2 linked regions of the Diceros bicornis minor genome follow. The protein of the gene in region 1 interacts with the protein of each later gene in a biochemical or structural test. Links are inferred from orthologs where the notes say so. Each region holds a gene or a part of one and is shown on either strand. Other genes may lie near its edges.

What was found.
Region 2: the proteins of SNTB2 (region 1) and PTPRN form a complex in vitro, tested with the Homo sapiens proteins (2 studies listed by BioGRID and IntAct). The link is inferred for Diceros bicornis minor from reciprocal best matches to the Homo sapiens genes SNTB2 and PTPRN.

What each region holds. Positions count from the first base shown.
Region 1 is NC_080771.1:20,697,220-20,709,235, reverse strand, and holds the start of SNTB2 (beta-2-syntrophin), read right to left. Parts: upstream 4,506-12,016; 5' UTR 4,472-4,505; coding exon 3,892-4,471; intron 1-3,891. UniProt on the Homo sapiens protein: Adapter protein that binds to and probably organizes the subcellular localization of a variety of membrane proteins. May link various receptors to the actin cytoskeleton and the dystrophin glycoprotein complex.
Region 2 is NC_080776.1:9,600,745-9,612,649, reverse strand, and holds the start of PTPRN (receptor-type tyrosine-protein phosphatase-like N), read left to right. Parts: upstream 1-6,880; 5' UTR 6,881-6,889; coding exon 6,890-7,004; intron 7,005-8,275; exon of another isoform or gene 8,276-8,346; coding exon of another isoform or gene 8,347-8,452; coding exon 8,453-8,503; intron 8,504-8,739; coding exon 8,740-8,853; intron 8,854-11,778; coding exon 11,779-11,875; intron 11,876-11,905. UniProt on the Homo sapiens protein: Plays a role in vesicle-mediated secretory processes. Required for normal accumulation of secretory vesicles in hippocampus, pituitary and pancreatic islets.

The sequences.
Region 1 (12,016 bases):
TCAATTCTGAAGTTAAATTTCATGCCGGTCTACTTCTTCTATAGACTTAACCATTTTCTTTTCAGTAGATTTGATAACAATACTTTTAGAATCATATTGAGGCAGTAAAAGATCATTTTCCAACAACATTCCAATGAGAATTGCTTCAAAAATACTGATCTTTTCTCAAACATCAAACCTGAAGCTGGGCACTTTATACTGTCTTCCCTAACCTCTGGAACAATGACAGTCACTAGCCAAAACTACAAGTACACAGTTAATGGCAAGTTTTAAGGTTCTGAGTAGTATGTGTGAAGGAAGAGGAAAAATCAGAGGAATGGGAAACTAAACTTCAAAATTTAAGGATAAAAAAGTTGGCCTATACGAGAAATGATAGAAAAATAGGAAAACATGATTGGAAAAAGCTGTTTGCATGCAAGAAATGCAAACTCATTCTTAACCTGTTCACCTAAAATAATTCTTATTCTTATCACGTATTTCTTTTCAAGTAAAATGGAGCCTTGGATTTTAACAGCTTGTTATCCTAGCTCTTCTGACAGTGTCTTTGTTAACTCTTGGCATACCTTCATAACGCAGTCCTACCTTCCTCATTCAGACTTTGTTTTTTGTTGTTGTTGGTGTTGTTTACTGCTGTATTCTCAGTCCTAAAAAAGCGCCCAGCACATAAATTATCAAATGAATAACAACCCTTTGAGGGAGGAATCATTATCATCCTGGTTTTACAGATGAGGAAACTAAGGCTTAGCAAGGTTGAGTAACTTGCCTAGGGGTTACAAACCACCAGCCAGAAACAAACTCACGTCTGTCTAACCACAAAGCCCTCATTTGTCTACCCTCACTAGGCAGAATAACTTCTTAATGTCTCTCACTTGTGTCTCTTAAATGGCGACAGCTTTCTCAGGGGAAGGCTCAATTCAAGCTTCAACTTCTCCATCAACCTGTTCCTGGGCATCCTCAACCTCTGAACTCCACTACAGTCTTTACAGATCTCTCCTTCCTTTGTGCTGAGCCCTCTCCAGAGTTCTATAACAACAGTGCTTTTAGCCCTTTGCTGTACTTATTTCTTATCTCTCTCTTACATCAACTCCAAACTTCCTGAAGGCAGGAATGAGGAATCTTCAAAGGCCTCTGGCACATGGTAGAGTTGAATAAATGTCTGATGTATGAATGAATAATCTCCACAAATCCACAAGATAAAAAGGAACCCTTTAGCTCAATTCCCTAAACACAGGCAACCAGAGACTACAGCTTTCCTTTGCTTGGGGGTGGCAAGGGCATGCCTGAAATTCCCTGCCCACACCACGAAAGAGCATCGGTGTGCTATGTTAAGGCAGTTTTTCAACTTTTGAGACATCCAATGGAAAGACAATAGAGTTCCAAAACTTTAAGGGCTAAGCATAAAATCTGTCTTTGTAAAAGTGATCTACCTGGATGAGATACCAGCTCTCGATTTTAAATAATGTTTGACTGGTTCTATGAAATCACTGTTTTCAATGATTCTGCATATTTTAAGTAATTTTATTTTTATATCCCTTGGCTTAAAAGTGCAATTTCATACTTCGCCACACATGTAAGGACAAAAACTGCTTGTCTCTTACAAAATGGGAAAATAAAGTAGAAGCTGTGTTAGGTAAAAAGGCATTCAATAAATATGTTATTATGCTGCCATTTGTAAACTCCTTCTAAAGGCACATGTGGCCTATTTTAGACTAATGAATACTGGGAAGCATTTGATAGATGATTTTCATTTACTTGGTATGAATACCATGTTCAAATTATATCTAAACAAAAACTGGTTTTAAAAAAAATATGGTGTAAAGAGTTGAAATGTCTGACCATCACCACTGAGTACTACACAAATAGTACTACATTCAATATTCCGACTCTAGGAATTTATAACCAAATGCTTAGCTAGACCAATTTCAAGGTACATGTTTTTGTTTTTTTGTGTGTGTGTGTGTGAGGAAGATCAGCCCTGAGCTAACATCCATGCTAATCCTCCTCTTTTTGCTAAGGAAGACCAGCCCTGAGCTAACATCTATTGCCAATCCTCCTCCTTTTTTTTTTTTTGCCCCAAAGCCCCAGTAGATAGTTGTATGTCATAGTTGTACATCCTTCTAGTTGCTGTATGTGCGGCGCGGCCTCAGCACGGCGGGAGAAGCAGTGCGTCAGTGCGTGCCCGGGATCCAAACCCCTGGCCGCCAGCAGCGGAGCGCGTGCACTTAACTGGAGCGCGTGCACTTAACCGGAGCGCGTGCACTTAACCCCTAAGCCACGGGGCCCGCCCCTCAAGGTACACGTTTACGGTAACAATTTTTTTACACATGCACCACCCAAGCCACAATCTATAATTTTACTTTTATTAACACTAATTTCTGAGCAGTGTCTAGCCCAACCTATAAGTGAGATATAAATAAGATTTATAAATAGAATACTATAAAGGTGGGACACTGGAATTTCACAATTGGAGCACATTAAATCACTTACTTGCAAACTAATATTTTTCCAAATATTTACAAGCAGATTTGGAAAAAAGTGAAAATCACTTTGCCAAGCTGGACTTCTGGCCTCTCAGTTTGATAACTGGTTCCTTCCTACCCCTACTCCCCACCCCTTCCCTTCTGTTCTTCCTCTGCTAGGAATACTCTCCTGACTCATCTCTGTCTGTCTATGTCCATCACTTCCTTGGAGACCTGGCTCAAGATTCAGCTCCTTGAAAAAGTCCTCCCTGACTAATCCTGATTTCCACTAACTACATCCTAACTTTGCATTCCCTTGGCATTTATATACAGTTTACACTATATAATCAATAACTTGTAAGACATTTTGCATTTTTCTATCATTTCTCCAACTAGAGACACATCACCTTTTATATTCTCTTCTATACAGCCAGCAATAAATGCTTCTTGAGCGACTGAATCAACAGCAAAAGAAAGCCGATGGCTCAAAAATTTCTGAAGCAAGCAACTGGCTTTTCAGATCACACTTACAATACTTTATCACCTCCAACATGCATAAGTCCTTCAACGAGATGAGATTTAATTTTGTCTTAGTTCCATAAATTCATCATAAAAGATCCAGGTTATAGATCACATATATACTTAAGGTAAACAATCCTGGATATTCAAATATATCTTGAGATTTAACATTTCAAGCTTCTAAAAAGCTTAAAGCCTTGAAGCAGCAGGCCTGTGAATGGTAGGAAGTTGGCACTAGCCTCTTGCAAAAGAGGCAAAACTCTAGTTGGCAGTAAATGTTCAAACACGTGAGCCTCCACTGTTAAACAAGGCTCATTAACCACACAAACTTGCTGTTTCAGCTTTCTGGCTTCAATGAAGTGCTATGATCTCCTTTGGTTATTGTTGAGAGCCAATGATGGGTTAAATTCCCACACATTAACCAGCGTTTTGGTGGTTTGCCCAAGAATACCTCTGGCATCGGTGGGGCTGATTTTTCTTTTTTTTTTAACAGAGCTGCCCGCCCCGGGGAGCCAGAGGTGAGTGATGAAAATGCCGACCCGGCATTTCTCAGGAGGCAAACGGAGACCTCCAGAACTCGAGCCGTTCGGTCTCCCTCTAGTTCTTAGTGTCAGCTTATCGTGCAGAGGCGGGCTTCAGGCGCGCCTGCTTTTTACTAAATCGCAACCGAGTCTTCCTTAGGGACTGCAAGCCACACTTCGGCGGCTGCCCAACTTTTCCCGCAGGGAGCATCAGTTTTTCCATCCTCAAAGCCCCTGCACATCGGGTCTGGGGAGAGCCGGGCCACCAGCAGAGGGGAAGGCGAGGACTCGGAAAGGGGGAGCGGGCTCGCTCCCCAAAAGGGGCAGACACAAAGTGAGCAACGGCCAGCCCTGCGCCGCCCGCCCGCAGGCCGCCCGCCGGCCCCGCTCACCCTCCAGCAGCACCTCCTTGCCCGCGCGCTTCAGCGCCTGCACGGCCTGGTCGTGGGTGGCCTGGCGCAGGTCGGTGCCGTTCACCGACAGGATGGCGTCACCCAGCCGCAGCGCTCGGCTCTGGTCGGCCGCCAGCCCCGGGAAGATCTTGGAGATGAGGATCGGCATCCGGTTCTCGCGGCCGCCCTTGATGCTGATGCCCAGGCCGCCCGCCTCCTGCTTCACCACCCGCACCCGGCGCACAGGAGGGGACGCGCCTGCCTCGCCCGCCGGGCCTCGGGGCGGCGCGGGCGGGCTCGGGGGACCCAGGCCGCGGCTCGGGCTCCCGGGCAGCGAGTCTCCGGCGCCGCCGCCGTTCGGGAGGCCGTTGAAGGCGGCCGCCGCCGGCCCCAAAGTGGGCTCGGGCTCAGCCGCCGCGGCGTCGCCCGTCAGGCTTAGGCTCTCCCCGCTCAGCTCGGCCACCACCCGGACCCAGCGCTCCCTCAGGAGCAGCTCCACCAGCCCCGCTTTCGTGGCCCGCGTCCACACCGCCATGGCCGGCCCCGCTCCCGCCGCCGCAGTCGTCGTAGCTACCCTCATTCCAGTCAGGCAGCCTAGGCGCTTCCCTCTTCCCGCTCGAGGGGGCGGGCCGGCCCCCTCCCCCCGGCGGTGATTCATTATTCATGAGCCACGCCCACCTCCGGAGGGGAGGGGCGAGGCCGGCCGAGCCGCTTCCGGGAGCTTAAGTAGCTGCCCGCAGTCCAGTCCCTTGCGGCTCACCGGACGTGGGCAGCCCGAGCGCAGTGATGCTTAGTCTCGCGTTCTCCTTCCTTTCGCCTCCAACAACCACCCCCCCGCCCCCGCAAACTCCTGACCTCTACCGTGCAATTCACCGGAGCTGCCTGGGCACGGAAGGCAACATCAGCTTCAAGAAGCACTTTGCAAGCCTGCAAGACTGGGTTGCACGTTCACTCTTGCATTGATTGGTTCATTCCGTCTTTATTGAGTGCTTCGCCGTGTGCTCCTTTTGAGGCCTGGAGATGAGCTGAATAAAACGTACCACAGCTGAGAGCTGGCGGTCTAGTGGGGGAGGAAAACGGAGAACCAATCAACCTAGTGTGATACTATGTGGTTAAGTGACATCTAGACAACGCTCTGAGAGCAGAGTAGAAGAAACATTTGGTTGGGCCCGAGGTCAGCTGCACAGAGGTGACAATGGAAGGTGAATAGGTGGAGCAGAGGGAACTGCATAAGCAAAGGTCCAGAGGCATGAATCAAAGCATTTGTCACTCTGCTTTGTAATCACCTGTTTTCCTACCTGCAATGTGTGAGGGCACCATGTCTTCTTCAGCCCTGCAGCCACAATAGGTTGGCCGCAAAGATATTTGCAGAATGATGATTACTTAGGAAGATGCCAGAATTCCAACGTGAACAGAGCATCGGGTCCCTGGAGATGGCAGGATATGAGTGTGAAAAGCCTCATATAATCAAATGTTGGAGTGTTTGGACTTGAATTTGTAGATCTGACTTTCTTACTCTGGAGGCCACGGCCCTTTGTTGGGGTAAGTGTAGATGAGCATCCCCAGAAACTGTATGCACACTGCAGAGCCTGCAGTGGCTTTTATCCTAAGACATGGGTGATGCAATCCACCCACTTCTTCCAGCTTCCTGGGCTGGAAGAGCAGAGGAAACTGAGGCCTGGAGAGCCCAAGACTCGAGCTCCAAGCCCACAGTGAGGCAGCAGAGACAACTGTCTGGTCTCCCACCTCCTGGTCCACTGCTTTTCTTGACTACATTCCTCAGACCTCAAAAATGAGGGTCCAGAAATCACACTGCTGAGAGAGATCTTAGCAAAAACATGAGTTCAAGGTGCCGTCTAACTTTCCTTCAGCAATAAAATCGAAATCCTCACGTTTTCATTTGGTGCAAGCAGAAGGAATGTGCACCAATTTCTGTAAAAGGGGCTGCATACCTGCTTGCTCATGAAGTACATGTTGAAGCTCGTAAGCCATGTCCACGCACCACTCTATGAATGCACATGCATGTATGGGCAGAAACTTCCAAACAGCCTCCTATACCAGGAGTTAAAACCATAAAAATAGAGACTGGAAAGCAACCAGAGCCCAAATGAAGGAAGAATTCAAAATAAGAAAAGTATCTTACCAAAAAAATCATTACAGCAGAATCTTCTTTGCAATTAATGGAGCAGGATTTTCCGAGCTGCAAATGTCAGCAGCTCAACCCTCTAGCCCTCTCCTAAATCAATTGCAGTGAGGCCAGCTAGCTGTTTTGGCAGGTCCCAATGTGCCCCAGCGCACCTGCAGTCACAGACACTTCTGGCTTTTCTCCAGCTGAGGCATGAGCCCCCAGAGGCCTGAGTTATGTGAAATTTCTGCTTATTAGAGAGCACTTGGCAGCTGATCCCTTAGAGTATGAGCACTATTTTCAACACTTTTATATACATATTCACAAAGGGTTGGGCACTTGAGGACACCTTTATTAGCAAAAGGGAAGCTGGAAACTCCTTCCAAGAGTATGAAGACCTTTTGGTCAAGAGAGTTGGAGGAAGTCATAGATCTTCCAACTAAATGGTAAGTGAGGGTGCTTATATATAAGATAGTAAGTTATATAACATAATATTTAAACCTGGGAGGAGAGAAAGTAATGGAGATTGATATTTGGATTACTTGCGGGTTTCTACGTAAAAAATTATTTTTAAATATATCCATAAAACATTCCCAAATTATTGAGCTGCTTTTACAAGGTCCTCCATCAGAACCTAAATTAATTTTCAACATTCTCTTTCATCACTACTTTCTGATCGGCCAAACTCATCCAGTCAGTGTCTCTCAATGACGCCTTGCACATTCCTGAGTCCTTCCTTCCAAACACCTCCTGCCGCTTTCTACCACTTTCCCACCTAGCAAGATCTCAGCCCAGTTTTCCCCAACGACCCAATTTTTCCTTTGAACAATTTTCTTCTACGCTTGGCTGTTTTGCCCCAGTAGATTATAAAATACAGGAAGGCAGGGACCACCCATCGACTTCTTTTTATTCCCCACTATTCCAAAAATACTGCCTTGCAGAAAAGGAACTCATTAAACATGTGATTGATTGAAATTCAGTGCCTCCTGTGCTGTAGTCGTTTCAAATAATCCTTCTGAAGGTTACTGGTTCCTTGCAGAGTGAAAATTACCATCTAGGAAATCTCAAGTAGTCAGTGGAAATCTACTTACTGTGGATAATGAAATCTGAAATAAAAAGAGTACACATCTGTGTCCACGGTTTCTTAGGGACAGCAAGACAAGCTTAGATAATTCTTTGAACAGGCATGTTATTTTATCTACCTTTAAAAAAGGAAATGGCTGAGATAATTCCTCATAACCCTTCATTCCTGTCACCTATCAATACGTATTCTCCTGTGCTCAAGCTGTTATCTTACGATTTCTCAGAACAAGGCAGGGATCACTGCTACTTTAAAATGAGGGGGTTGGATTAGCTCTCTCAGTTCCATAATTTCCTACAATTCTATGACTCAGGCTCTGATTCTATGCTCTCTCAAAAACCAGTGGTCTTTTCTTTTTCTTCTCCCTCACAGTGGATGTACAATATAGCACAGTAATTAAGAGCACAAGGTTCAAATTGTAGTTTGGCCACTTACTAGGTATATACGATAACGGTCAAAAGGTTGAGGTCACAGGCCTGTTTCTTCTTCAGAAAAATTCAGCTACCTTCTACCTCTAAGGGCAGTTGCGAGGGTTGACTGGGATGACATATGCAAAGCGTTTAGCAGCACTGTACCTGTACAGGGTAAGAGGTCCATAAAAAGTACCTGCTGCTGGTATATTACCTGTTGACCTTCAGCAGCAGCAACAATAAAACCTTTGGTAGAAACTCTGCAGCTGAGAGTCTAGACTTTATCTAGGAATGAGTCTGCCATAGTATCATATGATTCCAGGCTTAAATGGCAAATGGCCAAATTAATTTCGGTGACAAACAGATCTTGTATAAAGCTACACTTCAGCTGAAAGGGAGAACATATTGCCAAGAGTCCGTCAAAGCAAAGAATTAGTGGATCTGGGGCTGGTTCCAAGGTTTGAGTGTTGTGTACACAATTTCATAAGGAAGGAGGGCCCCAGGCAAAATTGCAGCCCTTAGCAAGCCTGAAGGTCACTACCACAGAGGCGGCCTGACGCCAGAGGAACAAAAGCAAGAACTGCTCAATTACTACTAAAGAAGAGGCCAAAGGGAGAAAGAAGCTTGTAAGATAACCAATCCAACACCTAACTTTGCAAAATTATCCACACACAACTCTTCCTCAGTTAGAAGACAGTGAGATCAATTGTCCCTTTCAACAGACAGTACTCCTTTGCCTTCCGGGAGAAATAACCTAAAAGGTATTTTTCTCTCCCGCACAAACATGAAGTGAAAGAGGGAAAGGTGCATATATCCTTTAGCTGATGTAAGCACATTTAAAAATTCATCCTGCCAAGATAAATCATCATCCATCTGAAAACCACAAAAATGGATTAACTATCTCATACGTTATGACTATGAAAACCCACATCTGCTAACCACATTCCTAATGAGAAGCAGCTGGTGACAGTTTTGTAGCTCTGTGACTTTCTTTTTAGGAAAATATTAGCAAGGACATAATAAGCAGAAGGTTAGTTTCATTGAATCCACTTAGTTATGGAAAATCACCAGTGTTTTTTATTGACAATCATGGACATTACATAATTTGCCACGAAATTCAAGTAAGGTCCAAAAATAAAAATCCCCTTTCCCCCAATACCAGTTCTAACAGAATTTCCAGTGCCTCAGAATTAAGACTTACAGTCCTAATAGTCAGCTTCAACTCTCATTTTTCATATACCATTGAACACCAAATCATGTCTATCGATGCAGATGGTATTTCTAGGCCTTTGTCCCACAGCTTTAACTGCCTCCCAAGTCAGTTAATGCAACAGCCAGTTGTGGGGTGTGGGGATCACGGACCCCTTTAGGAGTCAGTTGCATGTTGTGGACACACCTTAGACAAATGCACACCTGTGCAAAATTCAGCATTCACACTTGGGGGCTCACAAAGCCCCTGAAGCCCTTCTATGGACTCTGTCATGGGCTGAATCGTGTCCCCTCAAAATTTATAGGTTGAAGTCCTAATCCCCAGTACTTCAGAATGTGATTATATTTGGAGACAGGGTCTTGTTTTTTTTGAGGAAGATCAGCTCTAAGCTAACATCCATGCCAATCCTCCTCTTTTTGCTGAGGCAGACCGGCCCTGAGCTAACATCTATTGCCAATCCTCCTCCTTTTTTTCCCTTTTACTCCCCAAAGCCCCAGTAGACGGTTGTATGTCATAGATGCACATCTTTCTAGTTGCTGTATGTGGGACGCTGCCTCAGCATGGCCGGACAAGCAGTGCGTCGGTGCGCGCCTGGGATCTGAATCCGGGCCGCCAGTAGCGGAGCACGCGCACTTAACTGCTAAGCCAGGGGGCCGGCCCCATGGAGATAGGGTCTTTAAAGAGGTAATTAAGTTTAATGAGGTCATTAGGGTGAGCCCTAATCCAATATGACTATTGTTCTTATAAGACACACGTGAAGACACCAGAAGACCACCATCTACAAGCCAAGGAGAGAGGCCTTAGAAGAAACCAACGCTGCCGATAGCTTGATCTCAGACCTCTAGCCTCCAGAATTGGAGAAAATAAATTTCTGTCGTTTAAGCCACCCAGTCTATGATACTGTTAGGGCAGCCCTAGCAAACTAATACATATAGACCCCAAGTCAAAAACCTACACAACAGCCTGTTTTTTGTTCCCCTAACTTCCAGTCTCTTCTGCCCCTTACTTACACAAATGGGCATTTTTACTGTGCCATTCCTTTGAATCTGAATGGTTCACAATTATGTTTTCCACTCAACAAAAATTCTTAACCATAGACTTCAAGGCCCACTCCAAGCTGGTCTTATTTCTCACTACAGGTTGGCTTAAGAGGTCTGTATCCAAATCTACTTCTCTTTTCCATACTTTTCTAAACTGCTTAGCTTTCCTCTGTGGAAAACTCTCTCACCTTTTTTATAAACCTCACCTGGTTCTTAGTTACTATCAACTAGGGAAGTTGTCACCCTCAAGGGGCAAGCTTTCCTGAAGGAGACGCGGATGCTCTCAGCACTGTGGCAAGCCCTGCCTGCCCTTTCAGCCTCATTTTCCCCTACTTCCAATATATGCTGTTTCAACCACATGGAACTACTGGCAGTCCCTTGGACAGGCTATGTTCTCTCTTGCTTCAGGCCTTTGCACTGAGAATGCTCCTGGAATGCCTCTTTTCTTCTCCCTTCCATGTTGCTAATTACTACTCAGTTCTAAGAGTTATTAGTTCAAGGACCATCTCCTACCTTTAACCTTATTTCCTAACCCTACTGGTTAGGTGCCCCTTCTCTGTGCTCATCTCTAATGTTGATCTACTTTTTTCCCCAACTAGGCTGTGAAGTTCTTGAGGTCTGAGATCATCTTTCATCTGTTGTTGGTGCACAGCATATAGTAGGCACTCAACAAATGTATGTTGAGTATTAAGTTCTGTAACTTCCTAAAGACAAAGGACTGACACAAAGCTAAGCCTTTAGATCTGTGCTGTCCAATAAGAAAGCCACTAGCCACATGTGGCTATTTATATTAAATAAAATATTCAGTTCCTTTGTCACACCAGTCATACTTCAATTGCTCAACAGCCACCTGTGGCTAGTAATATCTTATTGTACAGCACAGATACAGAACTTTTCCATCACCAGAGACAGTTTATTGGACAGTGTTGATCTACATCATAAAATAACTTGAAATATGAAAGAAAAAAACACCGTAGGAAAAAAAGAGAAGAGGGCCTTAATATGCAATTTACACAATTAGCCAAACAGCCAAAACAAATGAAAAAGTGAGCAATGTCATTAGTAAATAGGGAAATGCAAAATAAAATGAGATACTATCTTTCACCCATTAGAGGGGCTAAAACTAAAGTCTATCACTACATTGGCAAGGTGAAAGGAAACAAGCATCTTCCAACACTGCTGATGGAAATACAGCCACTCCAAAGGGAAACTAAAAGTGAAAGAAAATGGGCACAATATGAGCTAGCAATCCCACTCCTAGGAATTAACCCTAAAGAAACACCCCCACGTGCGTACTAGCAGACAATCTACTAGGTTGTTCATTACAACACTCTACATGATTTACACACCACTGCCCACAGAACACAATACTCGAGCTAAATCAAGTGCTCATCCACAGCAAGAAATGCTTAAACACCTTCCCTGCAGCCTGTGAAATGGAAAATCCTTTTGTATACCATGCCTGCTAATATGTATGATTGGGTCCCTACAACCAAGAGACAGTGGGGGAATAACTCTTAAGAATGCCACCTTGGCTTCTAACAAACCATTGTGTGCTTGGTCTCCATCTCCACAAGTATAAAAACGAGGCCAAGGCCAGCCCCGGTGGCCTAGTGGTTAAGTTCGGTGTGCTCTGCTCTGGCAGCCCAGGTTCGGTTCCCGAGCGCAGACCTTCACCACTCATCTGTCTGGCCATGCTGTGGTGGCAGCTCACATACAAAAAGGGGAAGATTGGCAGCTGATGTTAGCTCAGGGCAAATCTTCCTCAGCAAAAAAATGAAATAATAATATAAAAATGAGGCCAAGAGGCACATGGGTTTCTTTCATGTTCCTTCCTTCCTACCTACCCAACCACCAGAACAGCTCCACTTTTATCTGTATCATTTATTGCAGTTCAGGGTAAAGTTCCATTTGAAAAAAGTTTTGATGCTTAAAAAAAAACACTTCAAAAACCCCCAAACTAGATGATCTCTTCCAATATTCTAAGATTTTAGTTTTTCTCAGTCTAATTTGCTGTAATCTCCATGGCAAAGCGTGCATTATCCATTCACAGATCAGATTACTAGCTACTATATGAGAAAAGTAAATTTTCAAAGCATTTGAGTCAGGTCAACAAAAAAGACCTTTCCTAGGTTGGTCTCAGATCAAAATTTTTCCATAGAACTCAAGTATGAGCAGCAGCCTGCAATACACCCAAAACAGAAACAGAATGCATCTAGGTTACACTAATCCCCAAAGTAATATCACCCTGAAATACAT
Region 2 (11,905 bases), on another chromosome or scaffold:
TGCTTCACTTCTGCCTGTCAAATCTCATGCAGAAATCTTTCTTGTGGCCTACTCTAACCGGAAACATCCAGGGAAAGTAATCCTAAGAAACATAGCTCAGGGCCGGCCCCGTGGCTTAGCGGTTACGTGCACGCGCTCCGCTGCTGGCGGCCCGGGTTCAGATCCCGGGCGCGCACCGATGCACCACTTCTCCGGCCATGCTGAGGTCGCGTCCCACATACAGCAACTAGAAGGCTGTGCAACTATGACATACAACTATCTATGGGGCTTTGGGGGGAAAAAATAAATAAATAAAAATTAAAAAAAAAAAAAAGAAACATAGTTCAGCCTAGCTGAGTTAACACATTTCAAAGCCACTAAACCTACTGAAGCTAGATGTACCCATATGACCCAGTGTTTTCAATTCCAGGATACATACCTCTCAGAAATGAGACAAATTATTTCACCTTGGACATCTACCACAATAAAAAAAGACCATATTCTTTGTGCAAGAATGGGATTCTTTGGTATTTGAGGCAACATACAAACAACACATTTCAATGTGCTACTCAGAATGTAGCACATTCAACGTACACCTCAGGACCAGCTACCATTTACCAGTAACCCATCAAGCTTCTAGTACAGCCTGAAGCAAGAAAAGTTTCTGCAGCAGTTCCCGGTTGCAATGCAAGCAACCCTTTCACTTGATAATTATGACCCAGTGGTCTCAGCAGCACTGGAAGTGTCTCTGGCAGACCGAGATGTCATATGAATCCTTTGACAAGCCTCTGTTAGATTGTTATAGTGTAGGCCCCTAGGATTTTAGAGTAACACTGTGCCCTCTTATGCCATCAGCTATTCTCCATTTGAAAAGCAGCTCCTAGTTTTCTACCAGGCACTGGCATACCGAACACTTGGCCATGGGAAAACAAGTAATTACAAACTGGGTATTATCTGATCCGCCAAATCATAAAACTGGAGGTTCATCATGGCATTCCATTGTTAAATGGAAATGGTATATATGAGGCTGGACCTAAGAAGATCCGGATGGACCAAGTAAGTTGCATGAGCAAGTAGCTCAGACTCTTACCAGTTCATTCCCTCTCACAACCTTATTATGGCCTCATGGGGAATTCTCTATGACCAGCTAACAGACGGGGGAAAAAGGCACAGAGCTAATTTACAGATGTCTGCACAAAAAGCAGGCAACAGCCAGAGTGGAAGGCTGCTATATTACAGCCCAACTCAGAAGTGTCTGTGAATTACATTGGTGAAGAGAAATCATCTCTGTGGGAAGTTTTGTTGGTAGATCTAGTTGTCCACCTGGAATTCAAGAAGAGGAGAACCAAGATACGGATCTATATTAATATAGTGTTTATGGTTAACACTTTGGTTGGCTGACCTGGGATTTGAATAGAATAAGACATAAAGATCTATGATAAGGAAGTCTGGGATGGATCACTTGGAATAGACACAGAGTGTGAAGATAGTTGTGATTTCCTACATAAATGACCATCAGAAGGCACAGACTATGGGGAAGCTTGTCAATAATCAGGTTATGAAATGACCCATAACGTGGATGTCAATCATCCTCTTTCCCCAGCCACCCTGGTGCTTTCTTAACGGGCCCATGTACCAATGGATATGGTGGCCTGGAGTGAGGCTATACATGGGCTTAACAACATGGATTTCTCTCCCCAAGAATGATATGGTTACAGCCAGCCCTGCATACCAATTTGCCAACAGCAAAGGAGCCTCCAATATGGTGCACTTCGTGACAGACTTTTATTCTGAATTCCTTTCACCATGAAAAGGGGCAGTGATTTATATTCTGGATATGGATTTGCCTTTCCTGTCTATAACACTTCTGGCAGCATTCACTTACCATTAGTGAACTTACAGAATGCTTTATCCACCCCTAAGGGTTCTGGAACCAAGGAGTAAAGGTGAGAATGGCCCCTCTCACTATTATACTTCAAAAACTTCAAAATCTCTGAAGGAATGGTTGCTTCCCATCTCCCAAATGATGAGTTTTCAGATCCCAGTGCCCAAGGGAGGAAGGCTTTCACTGCAGTCGTAGTTACGTTAAACTGGAAGTTGAGACTACCACCTGATCACTTTGGACTCCTCCTGCCACTGAACCGATAGACAGATATGGGTGTCGCTATATTAGCCACAGTGATTGATTCCAATTACCAGGGGTAAGTTGAGTTGCTGCTATAAAATGAGGGCAAAGAAATGCTATAACTGAACCAAAGGGATGAACTTGGGTTCTTTGTATTCTCTTTTGCAATAGTACCTATTCAATAGAAAACTACAGAAACCAAATAAAGCTGGGAACATCAAAGACTCTGATCTGGCAGAAATAAAGATTTGGCTCAACCCACTGGCTCAAAAATCTCATGCAGTCAAGATGCTGACCAAGGTAAGAAGACCATGAAATGAGTGGGAGAATAAGGAAGTTGCAATTATCAACTTAGGTCTCAGGACCAGCTACAGAAGCAGGGATTGTAGCAGCTGTGTTTAAAGTAACTTGGCATGAAAGTTTCTTTTTTTCTCCCATTTCTTTTCCCTGCACTTTATAATGGGAGCACTGGCTTTGGACAATGTTTTAGGTTTCATATGAGAGCATGTCTGAATTAAGGGATGTGTGCGTCGCTTGTCATAAGGGTACAAGGTTTTCATCCAAACGAATGACAAGAGTGGAAGCTAGGATTAAGCTAGATAGTCCCCATTTTCCCATCCATATTTACGCTCCATCATTCTTCACCCTGCTCTATGTTCCCAGGTTGATGTCATTGGACTGCATCAACCAGAGGTCCTTGCTCACTGACTCCTGGTTGAATTTGGCCAACAGTAGCTATTGGCAAGAGATCAAAGGGCAAAAAAGGAGAGAGGTCAAGGTGTGTATTCCTCTGGCGCCCTCCCTGACCATCTGTGAGTTGACAAAAGTCTATATTCTTTTACCTGTCCATACCTTTATAAATAGTTCCTTCATTAAACTCTTCTTATTTACTCTGATTGAGTGTGCCCTCTGGTTCTAGCCAAGTTCAAGACATCAGATTGTACACAGCTGAAGGGAAAATTACTGACTGGAATATAGTTCAAAATAAAATATCCAGAATGAAGTATAAAGAGACAAAAAATGGAAAATACAAAAGATAAGGTAGAACCATAGAAGATACCACAAGAAACTCTAACATATATCTACTTGAAGTGCCACAAATAAAGGAGCAATAAAATGGGACAGAATCAATGTTTAAAGAAATAATACCTGAGGATGCCTCAAAACTGATGAAAGACATCAAGCCACATATTCAAGAAGCTCTTTGAATCTCAAAGAGAATAAATTAAAAGAAATCCCTCCCTAGTCACAACCTAGTAAAACTGTTGACATAGACAGGTGACCTACAAAAGAGTAACAATTATGCTGACAGACAATTTCTCCCACAACAACAAAAAAGTGGGAGAAGGGGATCAAGTGAGCAGATACCTCAAGTTTGCCCCTAGGATCCATTCTCCATCTCTCTTCACCTTGTTTTCTGTCCCAAGGGGCTGACCTGTATGGACTACTTCAATGAGCTCCCTCTTCCTCTGGATTCTGGTTAGGTTAGGACAATGGGAATACCTAGAAGGAGATCAGAGGGAGGGAATGAGGAGAGTGAGGAGAGGGTATTTATTTCGTCAGCTTCCTCCCTGTGAGGTTGTTACTGCCTGTCTGCTTCCCCCAACACACATGTGCAACAGGAATCATGTACAAGAGTATATATAGTCACACTATTCACAATAACCCAAGATTGGGGATAATCCAAAATCTGTGTTTCTTTGCTTTTTTTCACAGTTTTATAACCTAAGCATGCATCCTTAGGTTCTAAGGACAAAATAAACTACCAAAAGTTTTAAACATATTCATTGTTTTATTAGTAGAGTAAGGTTATTATTTGTAAATTATTGTATGCATATTGTAGGATTAAACACATAAGTGATTGGGGGCCGGCCTGGCAGCATAGTTGTTAAGTTCACGTGCTCTGCTTCTGGCGGCCCAGGGTTCACGCTTCTGGCGGCCCGGGATTCTCGGGTTCAGATCCCAGGCGTGAACCTACATGCCGCTCATCAAGCCACGCTGTGGTAGGGCTGCCACATAAAGTGGAGGAAGATGGGCACGGATGTTAGCCCAGGGCCACTCTACCTCAGCAAAAAAAGAGAAGGATTGGCAACAGGTGTTAGCTCAGGGCTATTATTCCTCACAAAAACAAAACAAAACATATAAGTGATCATATTAATGTCATTAGAAACCAAATTTTTGCGTGAAAGAATAGATACAAGCATAAAATCAAGAGTTCAGTAAAAATCACAGTTAAATTTTAATTGACAATATCAGTGTGTGTGTGTGTGTGTGTGTGTATCTTAATATCCTAGCTCTGTGCACTGAAAGGGCCTAGAAGCAGCATCATCTCAGTAGCCACTATCACCCCTGAAACTCAGATTGCAGTCTTTAAAATCAGTCCTTACTAAAAGATATCAAGTCTCTTTGGAAGAGCGGCTGCTTCCATGTCTAGGGCAGGGAATAAAAAAGATAAACCTGGAACATCTTGGAGTGATAGAAAGCAAGGAAGCTGTCAGTGACTAATGGGATGTTTCAAAAAGACACCAGATCCCATTTAAAGGAGTTTTCACTGATTTACTCTGCGACAATTTGAGCATCAAAAAGGATAATTACTGGGATTGATTGATACACATTGAATATATAAAAATCCATACTTCCATAGTAATGTTCAATCAAAAAATCATAAAAATACTTTTAAAAATTTATTTGCCACTGTAGGAGGTAACTATTATACCAACTCATTACTTGGCAAATTGGTAACTAAACAGAAAAAATTAAGAATGTATGTTACCTTTCCAGTTGGAATTGTATTTCTTGGATAACTAAGCCCAACTGATGACAGAAAGCTCTTCTTTACAAAGTAATATCAACTAATAAATGTTAAAGGAAAAATAAAATTAGAAAAATCACCACTTTGTAACCTCTAATGAAATAATTTAGGCAAGGATCATCAATGAATGGCAAAACTACTAGGTGAAAAGTTGACGGGAACTAGATATTCTCACAATGCCAAAATATCATCCCATAGATTACAGACTGGTCACAAGAGGAAAACATAACCTTACCTACAGCACTCTGGCTGCCTTTACCTTAAACCAGTGATCAATTTTAGTGTCACTAATAGTAGGACAGCCAGACATTATGCATTTTCGGAAATGACACAATTGGAAGCATACAGCATCAACTATAAAGAATTGTGCTTTAAAATTTTTTTTAACCTGATCCAATCAAGACTCTAGATAGAACTTCTAGTTTACAGGAAATACAGGGGATGTACAGGATACATACAGGGAAAATGCAGGAATATATATCATGATGAAACAATCAGGCAAATCCAGAGGGTGAGGAGATGTAAAGAAAAATTGACCTGGTCTCTTCAACAAGACAATGTGAAAAATGGGAGAGGAGCGGGGAGGAACCGTGTCTATGCTGATTTAAAGAGAATTAAGAAACATAACCAAATGCAATGGTGGTCTTTGATTGACTCCTATTTTGAACAAAACAGCTAAAAAAGGCAATTTGGGGAAATAATTTGAGAAATTTGAATATGAACTGAGCATTAAATGATACTAGAGAATTATTGTAAACGTTGGTAGATGTTATAATGGCATTTTGGTTACACGGGGAAATGTCTTTATTTCTTGGAGATACATATTGAAATATTAATAAGGGAAACATGTCTATCATTTACTTTTAAATATTAAAAAGAAGCAAATATGGCAAAATATCAACAACTGTCAAGTCTAGATGATGAGTGTATGAGTATTTACTCTGCACTGGTATCTTTTTTTGTATTTTGGAAAAATTTTACTGAAAAGCAAGAAAATAAATTGATCAAATTTGAACTTGAGAAAGCTCACTCACGAGCTTATGGAGTGACAAGAGTGGAAGCAAAAGACTAGTCAGATGATTACCGCAATATTCGCGATGAACGAGCACAGTGGCTTAGACAGGGAAGCGAGTATGGAGAGAAGTACACTGATGGGAGGTATATTTTGCAGACAGAAACGATAAGATTGTTGATAGGCTCTTGGTGGGAGAGGGCGACAGAAAGGAGAGTCGAGGCTAATAACAAAAGCGAGTATGTAGCAAGTGTTTCATCTATGCCTGTGCAGTCAAAGTCCTAAGTGATCCACATGAGTTTAACTCATGGAACCTTCACAACCACCTTGAGAGGGAGGTACTATTAACACCTCTCTTTTACAGATGAGGACACTTGGACGCAGTGAGGTTAAGCAACTTGCCCAAAGTAGCACCTCCAGGAGGTGGCATTGCTAGAACTGGAATCCAGGCACACACGCACAACCATTCCTGCTCTTAAGGATGACGCCGGTACCATTAATTGAGATGCGCAAGAGTACCTATTCTGGCTCCTCATCTTAGGGTTTATACTAGCCCACTCACGTCCTTTTCCCGGCCCCCACCCAGTTGAACCCTTTTCGCCAACCCTGGGACTGAGTGATAGAGGTGGTAGTCCTTGCGGAGAAGCGTATGTCGAAAGAAACGGGGCCAAGCGCGAATTCTAGTGAGGCGCTTACTATTTGGAGGAGGAGGGAAGGGGTGGGTAGGTCCCCCGCTAAGACGGTGCTTTTACGTCACGCATGACGCAAATAAGCGTAAGAGCCGGGGGTGGAGATGTCGTCACCACCCGCCCTGGGTTAGCCAAGTTGCCGCGAGAGGGGCGTATAGACCCCGCCTCGTAGGTGGGTGGGGAGTGGCAGGCTCCGCCTTGGCCCCTCTGGCAAGCTCCGGCCAGCGTCGCTGCGGCTCTGGCAGCTGAGCCGGCGCGCGGAGCCTGGAAGGATGCGGCGCCCGCGGCGGCCTGGGGGTCCCGGGGCATCCGGGGGTCTCCGGGTGCTCCTCTGCCTCCTGCTGCTGAGCAGCCGCCCGGGAGGCTGCAGCGCCATTAGTGCCCACGGTCAGGAGGAAATGGGGGGTAGGGGGATGGTGCCGGGAGCAAAACTCAGTGGCAGGTGGGGGGCAGTGTCAAGACGGTAGGAAGCTCAGGTAGAATATGTGTGGAGTGGGGTAAGGGGAGGCACTGTGAGACGAGGAAGATGAGAGGGCGTCTGAGAGGAAAGGGGCGTAGGCCTGGAGGTGGGGCTGGGAATACGAGGGCGGGACCTAAGAGAAGCGGGCTCAGGGGAAGATTGCTGGTTTGGGAGGAGGAATGGGGGTGCATATGGCCAGAGGGACTTAGAGAGGGGTTGCAAGACCAGGGGAGAAGCAAGTCGCACCGGGGCGCCAGAGAAGTGGTGACTGGAACTGAAGGATGGAGGCGGGGGGGAAGGAGGGAGAGGGAACCCTGATCTAGCAGTAGGAGACCGTGGCTCGAGCATCAGGGTCCCAGCTCCCAGAAGAGGATCAGGCCGAGGGAGGGGCCGGGTTTGTCTTTAAGCCTAGAGAGGCCAATGGCTGCTATCTGATTTCCAACCAGAGGGGGACATAAGGGGGAGGGGGCAGAAGAGGGTGAAGAGGGAAGGGTCCTCTCCCGTCCCCCTCCCCACAGTCAGGCCCTGCGCTGACTCACATCTGAGCGGACAGAGACAGTCAGCGCTGACTCATGGGTTGGGGGAGAGTGGGGGCGGGGGGCGCGTGGGGGAAGGGGCGCAGCCTCTCCGTCTGGCGCCCTTCTTCCCCACCGGGCTTGGAGGCCAAGGCAGGATACTTCCTGTGGCGCTGTGGGTTGGTAACGTGGAAGATGAAGTCTGGAACGGCGGAGGGGTCAGATCTTGTGGAGACTCCTTGCCCTGTCACCCCTCCCTCCCCCATAACTGCTTCCAGGCGAGCTCTCGGCGGCGCCAGGCTCAGCGCTTCAGCACCGCGGACAGCGCCAGCGGCAATGGGGCCGCGGATAGTAGGGACCGTGTGGGGAGCATTGCCTTAGAGACACCCACCTTTACCCTTTCCCACACGGAGGGGAGGTGTGCTAGGGTTGCCATCTCTTCTGAGTCCCAGGCCATCATAGTTAGGATGCTTTTGGAGATTTGGGAAAGAAATCCCCTTTTCCCTCAGAATTTGGCCCAAAACTCCGCCATAGTAATTCTATGAGAGTAGAAGTATATGATCCTTCACCATCACCACCCCCATGCACCTGGGAGGCTTCTTCTCTCCACCACTCGGTTAAGCAAAGTGAGGCTTTTAGAGAAAGGATCCAGAGTCGCAGATCCTTGAAATCCAAAACCAGATCCTGTGCTTCCTTTTCTTAAGAACTCTAGGCCTCTTCCCTACTCTCCTCCCAGCTTAAAGCCTTCCTTAGAATGAAAGAATGGACCCCATCTGCTTCCCTGTTTCCCAGCCTGTCCATCCATCTGACCGTTCTATGTGTGTGGCTGTCTGAGCGTCTGTTCACCTGTCCCTCTACAGGCTGTCTGTTTGACCGCAGACTCTGCTCTCACCTGGAAGTCTGCATTCAGGGTGAGTGAGGCCCAGGCACAGGATTTACAAGACCGGGGGACACAATGAGAAAGAAGTGTGGGGGAAGCCTGGAAGGGAGAAGGGGTACTGGCCTTGGGGAGATGGGGGACTGGCCTAGAGGAGCAGAGCTCCTTGAAGCCAGGAGAGGAGATGGAGAGAGTGCTGCCTATTTTCAACCCGGACTTTGGAAGGCCTCTTGTCCAAGCCCCTTGCTGACACGACTTTTGTGCTCTTAGATGGCTTGTTTGGACAGTGCCAGGTGGGAGTGGGGCAGGCCCGGCCCCTTTTGCAAGTCACCTCCCCAGTTCTTCAGCGCTTACAAGGTGTGCTTCGACAGCTCATGTCCCAAGGTGAGGTCTATGTGCATTGGAGGAGAGACATTGGGATCGGTTAGATAAGGGTGGGGAAGTGAGGAGCCACCTGACTCAAGGCTTTCTGTTCATGAAACATTCTTATCACACCCACTCTGAAGCCTCACGTTCCCAGACTTTGCTGCAGAGGAGGGCAAGAAAGGAGTAGAGGTGGAATCCTAGAGATGGGCTCTTCACACTTAGACTCTCTGTAGGAATCTAGAGGAGGCTTCTAGAAGAAGCCACTGGAAGAGGCCAGCTTTCATCTCCTTAGAATCAGCCCACTCCCTGAACTGTCCAAGTGCTCCAGAGCCATGAATCCTGGAGTCCTCAGCCAGGAGCACACCTCACTCGTCCAATTCACTCATTCAATAAGTAGTTATTGAGTACTTACCATGTGGCAAGCTTAGTTTTAGGAGCTTGGGATGTATCAGGGAATAAAATAGAGAAAGATCTCTGCCTACTGGGGCTTACATTTAGGGGGTGAGGGGAGGGAATACACTATATACATTAGAAAATATATAGTATGTTAGAAGGTGATAAGTGCCATGGAAAAACCAGATATTACAGCAGGATAAAGGGATCAGAAATGGTGAGGTAGGAAGCTGCAGTATTAAATCAAGTGGTCAAAATGATAGACCTTATTGAGACTATAAAATTTGAACGAAGATATCAAGGAGGTGGGAGTGTTTTCCAGAAGGTTATCTGGGGGCTGTGTTTCAAACTGACCAAAAAGCTAGAACAAAAGCCCTAAAGCAGGAGCACGAGTTTGAGGCACACCATGGAGAACACCTCTTCAGTGTCGCTGTAGATAAGGGATGGAGAGGAATAGTAGAAGATGCAGTTAGGTAGGTGATGGGGGAAGGGATGCAGATCATTGTAGGGCCTTGTAGGAGAATGTACGGACATTGGCTTTACTCTGAGTAAAAGAGGAAACTATCACGAGGTTTTGAGCATAGGGGTGCATGATCTCACTTCTACTTTAAAAAGATCATGCTTGCTGCTGTGTTAGGAATAGACTATAGGGAGTCAAAAGTAGAAGCAGGGAGACCATTAAAAGCTACCACAATAACTCATGTAAGAGATGAATGTGGCATGGACCAGAGTGGTTGCAGGAAGGTAGTGAGGAATGACATAATTCTACATGTATTTTTAAGGTAGTGAGCACGATGTCATGAAATATTGGATATGGCTGTGAAAGAAAGAGAGGAGTCAAGTATGACACCCAGGTTTTATTGCCTGAACGACTGAGTTGATGGAGATGTCATTAACTATGCAGAAGGACCAACTTGGGAGAGGGGGTGTTTAGTTTTGAATATACTGAGTTTAAGATATCCATTCAAGTAGTGTAGGAAGTTGAGTATATGAGATTGGATTTTGAAAGAGAGAGAGGTCTGGAGTGGAGACATAAATGTGGAATTCCTTGGCAAGTAGATGGTAATCAAACTAATGAGGTGGATGAGATAACCAAAGAATTGAATGAATATGAAGAAGAGCCCTAGAGAAGTCTAATATTAAGAGGACAAGGAGAAGGAGAGGAACCAACAACAGCCAGTGAGGTAGGAGGCAAAACAAGAGTGTTTGGCGTCCTTGAAATGAAGTGAAAGTGTGTCACGGAGGAAGGAGTGACCAACAGTGTTGAATGATGATGGTAGGTTAAGTAAGATGAGATCTGAGAATTGACCACTGGATTTAGATATGCAGAAGTCACTGGTGATCTTGGTGAAAGCAATTTCAGTAGAATAGTTGGGAATAAAATCCCGAATAGAGTGGATTAGGAGGGAATGGGAGGAAAGGAATTGTATACAGCCAGTATAGATAATATTTTCCAGGAGTCTTGCTGCAAAGAAAACAAAAACATGGGGTGATAGCTGGAGGGGAATGTGGGGTCAAGCAGTATTTTTTTAAGATGGAGGAAATTGCATCATATTTGGGAATAATTTAGTAGAGAACAGGAAGAAATGATGATGTAGGAAGTAAGGCAGAATTGTGGGGAAGATGTTCTTGAGTAGGTAATAGAAGATGAAATCTAATGCTCAAGTGGAGGAATCGGCCTTAAATAGGAACACAGATAGTTCATCTAATGTTAATAGGCAAGAAGGCAGGTATGAATGCTAGTGGATCCGAGAATATGAGTTAAGAGCAATATAGACTATTAATCCAGAAGCAAGGAAGAAGGAATGGGGGTGGAGAGTGGCAGATTATTCCTTTAGAATAGGTGACTGACTTTTCCTGAAAGCAGTCTCATGAGGGGAAAGGGTCGAACAGGAGATCTGCCTCGGGATGAGATGATGATGATGATGATGATGTTGATGTTGATGGTGATGGTGATGATGATGATAGAGGAGAATACTTAAAACAAGTACAGTGCTTTAGAGTTTTCTAAGCTCTTTCATTTCCCTGATTGTGCTTGATCTTCACGACAGCCCCATGAAATATGTATTATTCCCACTTTACTGCAAAGAAAACTAAGGTTCAGGATCAACTAAAAGAAGAAAAATAGGAATAATATTATGACGATAATAGTAATAGCAGCTGTTTAAAGTTTACTATGTGACAAGCACTATTCTAACCATTTTATATTGCATTATTTTAATTATCACAACACTCTTAGGAGGTATAAGCTCCCATTTTACAAATGAGAGAATTGAGGCTCAGACAGGTTCAGCAATTTGCTCAAAGTCACACAATTAGTAAATTACTGAGGATTCAAATCCAGTCTGACTGGAGGAAGTCTGACTCCAAAGTCTGTACCTGAGTGTGGGAAGACGACAGCTCAGATCACCGACCAGGTCTCTGGACCCCCTCCACTGCCCCTCTGCTCTGCCAAACTCAATACACTGCAGGCTCTGGAGTGCAGTTTTGATTTCCACTGGGCCCTCCGACTATCCCCAGCCAACCTCAGCCTATCCTGTCCCCTGGCAGGATTGTCCTGGCATGATGACCTCACCCAGTACGTGATCTCCCAGGAGATGGAACGCATCCCCAGGCTTCGCCCCCCAGAGCCCCGTCCAAGGGACAGGTAGGCATCCTTTCTCAACAACTCTAGCAT